Linked DNA regions of Danio rerio. The protein of the gene in region 1 purifies or fractionates together with the protein of each later gene. This does not show direct contact. Links are inferred from orthologs where the notes say so. Each region holds a gene or a part of one and is shown in the gene's direction. Other genes may lie near its edges.

What was found.
Region 2: the proteins of edc4 (region 1) and edc3 purify together in Homo sapiens (affinity purification with mass spectrometry; 6 studies listed by BioGRID and IntAct, with this or other methods). This does not show direct contact. The link is inferred for Danio rerio from reciprocal best matches to the Homo sapiens genes EDC4 and EDC3.

The regions. Positions count from the first base shown.
Region 1 is NC_133193.1:23,287,493-23,291,321, reverse strand, and holds part of edc4 (enhancer of mRNA-decapping protein 4), read left to right. Parts: intron 1-335; coding exon 336-516; intron 517-603; coding exon 604-670; intron 671-767; coding exon 768-859; intron 860-1,132; coding exon 1,133-1,323; intron 1,324-1,402; coding exon 1,403-1,479; intron 1,480-1,618; coding exon 1,619-1,742; intron 1,743-3,829. UniProt on the Homo sapiens protein: In the process of mRNA degradation, seems to play a role in mRNA decapping. Component of a complex containing DCP2 and DCP1A which functions in decapping of ARE-containing mRNAs. Promotes complex formation between DCP1A and DCP2.
Region 2 is NC_133200.1:21,946,898-21,951,166, reverse strand, and holds the start of edc3 (enhancer of mRNA-decapping protein 3), read left to right. Parts: upstream 1-1,327; 5' UTR 1,328-1,438; intron 1,439-1,670; 5' UTR 1,671-1,679; coding exon 1,680-1,843; intron 1,844-4,269. UniProt on the Homo sapiens protein: Binds single-stranded RNA. Involved in the process of mRNA degradation and in the positive regulation of mRNA decapping. May play a role in spermiogenesis and oogenesis.

The DNA.
Region 1 (3,829 bases):
GTTACGAAAACAGGCCTTCAAAAAAGAAAATGCATAATTTTTTTAGACAAAAGGACTACATCAAAATGACAAAGCAGTGAATTGTAGGTTTTCTTATTTAGATTTCTACAGCAGGTCTGTCTTATGTTTTGGGAATTTCAGAAATGTTGCTAGTATTTTGATAGAAAGTCATGCATGCAGTATAACAGCAAATTAAAGGCATGGACAGTTTGCCAGATGCAGCGTTTGGCTTTTTAAATAGGATTTTTGAGTTTAGGCCAAGGTTGTTTTTAAAGTAAGCACTGGTGGTTTCTCAGCAGTTGATTCAGGTGTGTGTGTTTGTGTTTGATATGAAGGTATTGTATGTCATGGAGCTGCTGCAGGATCAAGAGAAAGGCCGTGCCAGTTTCACTGCAGTCTCAGAGTTTCTGCTCACACACCCTGTGCTCAGCTTCGGTGTTCAGGATGTTTCTCGTGCTCGCCTGCGCCATACTGAGGTCCTTCCTCCTGAAGAAGAAAGCGAAAGCATGACAGCAGGTCGGTTTTTCTCTTTGTTTTCATGTTAGCTTCATGTTCAAGTGAGTCATTCAAATGATTCTTGTGTGGTTTAATATCTTCTCACAGAAGGAAACCAGGGAACCTCTGAGTCCAGATCAGGAATTCAGATTAAACTCTACTGTGTGCATACAAAGTGAGAATTTCTTATCTAACAACAACTCTACTGACATGAAGTTTGAATTTTAAATGTGTAGCGTTTAATATGTTGTTATAACCTTCTTATGACACAGATCACTACAGGATGTGCAGATCTGGTTTCAGCCCAATCAGGGGGACTCCTCTTCACTCTTCATGCCTCAGTCTGGATCACAGGATGGGTTCAGTGAGTATGAAGTTTTATATGTTTATATTTATGTTCCCTAGATTGCCAATGCAGAATCTAAAGGGATATGACGAAAAATATTTTTACCTGCGGTTGTGGTTTGAATTTTTGAATTTTTTTTTCACACTTAAATAATTTAATTAATAAATACTTTTAATGTTAAACTTTAATATATTGCACATTTTAATACCGCAAAAAAAGTATTTAGGAGTATTTTCATGTTATTGGTTATGTATGTATTTTTAATGTTTGTTTTGTTTTTAAATTTTCCAGGTTTTTCTGACCCGCTGGCTGATCTGAATGTGGAGGCAATGAGCTCTGACAAGGAGTCTGGCGATAGTGGTTCACAAAATGACCTGAGTAAGATTCTGCCTCTTCCAAGTCCCGCTGACTTCATGAGTCCAGCCCCATCAGCCTTGCCCAAACTCATGACCCCGGATGCCTTCATGACACCCAGCGCCTCTGTAAGCTTTTACTATCTTAGCGTCATCCTTTAGGTTCCTTCAGTGATGAATACATTCATCATGGTTCTTGTTTTTTCAGATGCCCGCTTCTCCTGGCAGCAGTGCTAGCAGTCTGACCATTGTCACGGCCATGAGCAGCTCAGACAGCGGTGCAAGGTGGTGTATTTAACTAAATGTTTTCATAGTAAAACTTGATTAAACCTTTTAAATCTCATATTAACTTCACAATGTGCAAAAAATGTCATACCGTTTGTCATCTCCTGCAATCAAAATGCAATATTTTTTTTTCTTTTAGAGGTGGAGATGATCTGACTCAGAGCCCTAAAATGTCTGTTGAATGTGTCAACAGCAGTTTCGCCAATGCAGGCAGTCCAAGATCCAACTCCATCCTCATCTCAGGCCTTGGGGAAAACATCCAGGTACCAATGGAAATGTCATTCTCAATGTTGCAATATAGCGTGCCTCAGTAGGTCTTATCTTTGTTTCAGTGTAAGAAAGATGTTGCTTTACACCAGGTGGTGAGATCTACTTTTCTGCAGAGTTCCGCTTCAAGCCTGGTCACACAACTAAGTTAACTAAGTAGGATTTAAAGGAGCATTTGGTAAATAAAGAGAGGTGCATTTAATCAGGGTTGCAGCTAAACCAGGCGTGTCCAAACTACGGCCCGCGGGCCATCTGCGGCCCGCAATCAGTTTTGTGGTGGCCCGCGAGGCTTTTTATAAATAATAATAGAATCTGGCCCGCTATACAAAAATGAACGTAATTCAATAAATAACCACCGGGTGTCGCTATTACATGCATTCAATTAAGCAGTAGTTCTTGTTATGATCTATCTATCTATCTATCTATCTGTCTGTCTGTCTGTCTGTCTATCTACACACAGTTGAAGTCTGAATTATTAGCCCCTCTTTGATTTATTTCTTCTTTTTTAAATATTTCCCAAATGATGTTTAACAGAGCAAGGACATTTTTACAGTATGTCTGATAATATTTTTTCTTTTGGAGAAAGACTTTTGTTTTATTTCGACTAGAATAAAAAGCGGTTTAAATTTTTTATGAACCATTTTAAGGTCAAAATTATTAGCCCCTTAAGTCTTCAGAACAAACCATTGTTATAAAATAACTTGCCTAATACCTTAACTTGACTAGTTAACTTTATTAACCTAGTTAAGCCTTTAAATGTCACTTTAAGCTGTATAAAAGTGTCTTAAAAATATCTAGTCAAATATTATTTACTGTCATCATGGCAAAGATAAAATAAATCAGTTATTAGAAATGAGTTACTAAAACTAATATGTTTAGAAATGTGTGGAAAAAAATCTCTCCGTTAAACAGAAATTGGGGACAAAATAAATGGGGGCTAATAATTTAGGGGGGCTAACAATTCTGACTTCAACTGTATATATATATATATATATATATATATATATATATATATATATATATATATATATATATATATATATATATATATATATATATATATATATATATATATATATATATATGCGTGTCTGTGTGATGTATGTAAAATTTGGCCCGCGACAACGTTTGTTTTTTTGCATCTGGCCCTCGGCCCAAAAAGTTTGGACACCCCTGAGCTAAACTCTGCAGAAAGGTAGATCTCCAGGAACAGGGTTAAGAACCACTACTTTACACACTCCCTGTAGTACCAACACAGTACTTTATAAAAGTTTGGGTATGGTTTTTGAAATGTATGTCGTTATTAATCAAGGATGCATTCGATTTATAGTTCACTCAAAAGGAAAAGGTGGCTCACCATTTACCAAAACCTTTGGGTTTGATTTCCAGCTTTCTTTAAAATATTTTTTGTTGTGTTTCACAGGAAAAAAAATCTTAATCTGCATTTAGTGCCAGTAGAGGCTGAGTAAACTTAAATACAAAAGATTGCTTGAATTATCCCTTTAATTCAGTTAGTGATAATAGAGTTTATTGTTGTTACAAAAAAGTGGCATGTTTAGTAATGTTTTTACTTTTAAATAAGAGCTTTGTTATTTCATAAGCAAGTGTTGTCCAAGTGTACCATTGAATAATAATATTATATTTACTGAACATTTACTAAAAGGAGCAACAGAAACCTAACTGTTAAACACATTTTTATTATGCCCTATTTTTTACAATTTTTATCTGTAAAGATTTTAAAGAAATATTTTTAAATGTGAATCCTTCAGAAAGGCTAACTTTTTTTACCAAAAGTAAACCTAAACTGTTTTAGATTTTTAGCTTATGTATTATTTATTGCTGATGATGTCTTTTTGTTGTTGTAATTAAATTAATAATAATATACATATATAATCGCTGAATATATGTGACATTTAATGAATGTTGTAAATTTGATCTGGTTTTTTTATGGAATAGTCAGAGAAGCTGATCAGACTTCCTCACTCACAATATAAACTGTCAATCCTTCAAATTTGATTCCAAATCATTTACCAATTCTTCTGTTTATCTGGCATCCCTCTATCTCCACTTTTCCATTTAAAAT
Region 2 (4,269 bases), on another chromosome or scaffold:
TTGATATTTTGGACGTTATAAATTCTTAAACAAGATTCAGCGATGCAGAGGTGCAGTAGGTAGTGCTGACGCCTCACAGCAAGAAAGTCGCTGATTCGAGCCTCGGCTGGGTCAGTTGCCGTTTCTGTGTGGAGTTTGCATGTTCCCCCTGCGTTCGCGTGGGTTTCCTCCGGGTGCTCCGGTTTCCACCACAATCCAAAGACGTGCGGTACAGGTGAATTCGGTAGGCTAAATTGTCCATAGTGTATGAGTGTGTGTGAATGAGTGTGTGTGGATGTTTCCCAGAGATGGGTTGCGGCTGAAAGGGCATCCGCTGTGTAAAAACGTGCTGGATAAGTTGGCGGTTCATTCCGCTGTGGCGACCCCGGATTGATGAGGGGACTAGGTCGAAAAGAAAATTAATTCTTAAACAAGATTATTTGACATTTTTGTATTTGTGTATACACAGATTTTCAGCATTATGATCTCAATACACCCGTTGACATCTAGTAGAGTAGAAATTACATTTTATGCAAAACAATTTTAACAAAAATCAAAAAACTAAATCTCAAGCGTATCTTGCTATTTTAATTCTATTTTTAGTATTTATTCAAATTTAAATTAGTTTTTTTAAAGTAACATTCTCAGGGCACTGCATGAGTTACACTCTCAGGGCTGGGTTGCGGCAGCAAGAGTAAAACATATGCCAGAGTAATTGGTGGTTCATTCCGCTGTGGCAAATAAAGAAACAAGGAAAGTGAGTGAGTGACAACCTTTTTTAAAAATCAGTTTAAAAAAATGTAGTCCCCATGAACCAGAAGCTACGATTTAAGCTTTTTTTTGTAATGTGACGTAGTTCCTAGAGAAACGGGATAAAAATGACAAATTACGATTTTTTTTTCTTAATGACATGCACAGATGAATTGTTCACCGCAAAACTAGCAATGTGAGCTGATAAAATCATTTGATAAGTTTTAATTTCACGGGGATTTAAATTTCTTAATGAACACAACCATAATAATATATAAATGTGTTATTTTAGAATGTAAAAATATTCTGAGAGAAATAACTGCAAGTTATAAATTGTTAAAAATAATCCAGTGTTGGGTTGCAGCTGGAAGGGCATTCGCTGCATGAAGCATATGCTGAATAAGTAGGTGGTTTATTCCGCTGTGGCGACCCCAGATTAATAAGGGGACCAAGAAAAGAAACAAAAATGAATGAATAATAATCATTTAACAGTTTCAAAAAAATAAATATCTGCCTTCTTTAGCAACTCAATGTAGTTCGGCGGTTGCCCAGTAAGCGGCAGTAAATACAGATTCAAATCTGATCCTCACTCAGTCAACTTTCATAGAAGAAGCCGATCGCGTAGTCGAGCTCTTTAGAAGAGTTTATCCAAATCTATCACAGTACACAACTTATCCGTATAATTGAAAGGTTTTGCCCTTGAAAACAGGTGAGAAACTCACTTTACAATTTTTATAAAACCGAAAAATTAGCTTATAAGCCCGTTGCGTGCTGTACATGTAGCTGGCTAACGTTAGCATATTCCTTTCTAACGTTCAATACTTATTCTTCCAAAACATTCTTCGTATTCATGCTTCAGACGCCCAATAACGCTTCAAGAGTTACCTGTATATTTAAAACCATCATGACAACTAACAAAGCGTCTTTGAATCTCATTTCAGCTGGTCAAAATGGCATTAGACTGGGTTGGCAATCTTGTTTCAATCCATTGTGGACCAACTCTAGGAGTCTACCAAGGGGAGATTTCTTCAGTGGATCAGACCAGTCAGACCATCTCTCTCAGAAACCCCTTCCACAATGGAGTCAAATGCACTGTGCCTGAGGTTACCTTCAGGTAAATTATAAAAGAGAGCTGTGTTATTATGTCTTTTATCATTTTTACTGATGTTTTTAGGATGGATACTTTCGTCTCATTTGTCTTAAGCCACACTTGTGTGGTATTTTGAAATCCCTTTATGTAATTTGAGTTGTAGAATTTTGTTAATGTTTGTTAGATTTTTGTTAATGAATATATAAGAATCATTTATTCAACCTCTCTTTTTTTCTAAACCTGCATAAGTTCCCTTTTTCTGTTAAACACAAATTAAGTTAATTTGAAAATAATAATAATGTGGTCGTTATTGACTTATAGCAGAGGGAAACTTTGGAAGTCAGTGTTAACCAATCATTTTGGAAGTGAAAAGTTAAAAAGAAGTCAAAAAGCCTCGTTATGCTATTTAAAAATATTACAAAACCTTTCCTTTTTTATGAATTAGTGGTGTGAATAGACGCTTACTTCCGGAGATGGGAAGTAACAAAGTACAAATACATTCGTTACTGTACTTAAGTAGATTTTTCTGATATCAGTACTTTACTCCACTACATGTTTTTTCTGACAACTTTTTACTTTTACTTCTTACATTTTTTTACACAGATATCTGTTTAAAAATGCTTAACCCTTTTGTCACCTTCCGATCATATTGCACAGGATTTCTCTGGTCTTTTATTGTAATACAGGGAAATATTGTGATTTTTTTGTAAAGATTTGTACATTTAGTACTTAAACAATCAAACACTTTATTAAAAAAAAACTTATGCATTTGTTTCCTTTATTTACTTTATAAAAACACTGAATTAACAGGTTATGTATGAGAACTACTTTTTAAAGAGAATAAAGCAGCTTTAGCCTAATGGAAAAAAATTGTTTGCAGTCAAATATGATGAGCCTTGTGTATATATATATATATATATATATATATATATATATATATATATATATATATATATATATATAGGACAGAATACTGTGTAAAATGTAATTATTTATAAAGATATACAGACCTACAGAATTATTTTAGAGTGTATGAACATAAATAGCAGCTGTTGTTTTTGATCTAACAGCCACAAAAGTACATGATGAACGCTGTGAATTTGAGTCAGGATGATCATACATGAGCAGACTTTTAGAGCAATGTTGTTGCAAAGTATAGGGTATATGCCGAAGCATGCTAATAGGACTTTGAATTTGCCAGTAACCTGAGTTAAACGCTTCCGGTCAACTGTACATGCCGGCCGATTCTGATGGGCACGTACGAGTAAACGGCTTTTTGTCTCGTTTTAAGCTTGATCAACTAAAAGAATGCCAAAGTTTATTTAACTGAATGTATTTTAATTACATTACATCATCAATGCTGTAAAAGGAACCATATACGTTGGGAAAAAAAAAATTACAATAACAGGTCACCTTAAGTTTATCAGTATAATAAAAACACCAGCTCGGCACATACCCTATTACAGGGTGTGATGCTGCTTTCATAAAATTGCCAACAAAAATTTTACATAAGAATTAGAAATGTAAGTTAGTTTATTAATGTATCGATAGGATGTGAGGACTAATTGCTTTTTATGGTACTTACTATCCTTAAACTTAGTTGCTGAATTATACAGGGTCGCCACAGCGGAATGAACCACCAATTATTCCAGCATATGTTTTACACAGTGGATACCCTTCCAGCGGCAACCCAGCACTGAGAAACTTATACATTACTGCCAGTTTAGTTACCTATTATTCACCTATACCGCATGTCATTGGACTGTGGTTGAAACGGGTACTTTTTACTTTTTTGCTTTTGTAAATTTTTGAGGCGCTACTTTTTTACTTTTACTTGATTACAAAAGTGTAGTCAGTACTTCTACTTTTTAAAAAATTGTACAAAAGCACGCACATCCCTCTTAACTGGGTGCTCAGCCAAAAAAACGCAAAAGGTGCAAATTAAATATTAATAAAAGGCGGCAACACCAAATCTCCAAAAATACTAATTTATTCAATTAAAAAAAGCTGACAGAAAGCATGTAAAAGGTTAAAGCCTGGATTGGTTTTTCTTTACAGAAACAAATCCTCCTTTACACATTCCTCAAAGCAGCTCAAATTAACAGTATTACCAATTCTGGATTATGGGGATGTAATTTACAGATGAGCTTCAAAAACTCTTCTTCTTAAACTGAATGTTATTTACTATGCAGCAAATAGTTTTGTTACTCTTGCGCCATTTAATATTCATCACTGTCAGCTGTATTCTTTACTGAATTATTCTTTGCTTCAAATTTAACAAATTCATTGGTTTCTGTTAATTTTCAAAACTCTTATTGGGAAAAACACCACTATATTTATTTACAGTCACTTCTTAAATTCAGGAAACATGTCGAAATCTGCGCTCTAATAGTTTTATTAACCTTTGCATACTCAACGTTCGCACTTCATTTGGTCGCAACTCTTCTCAG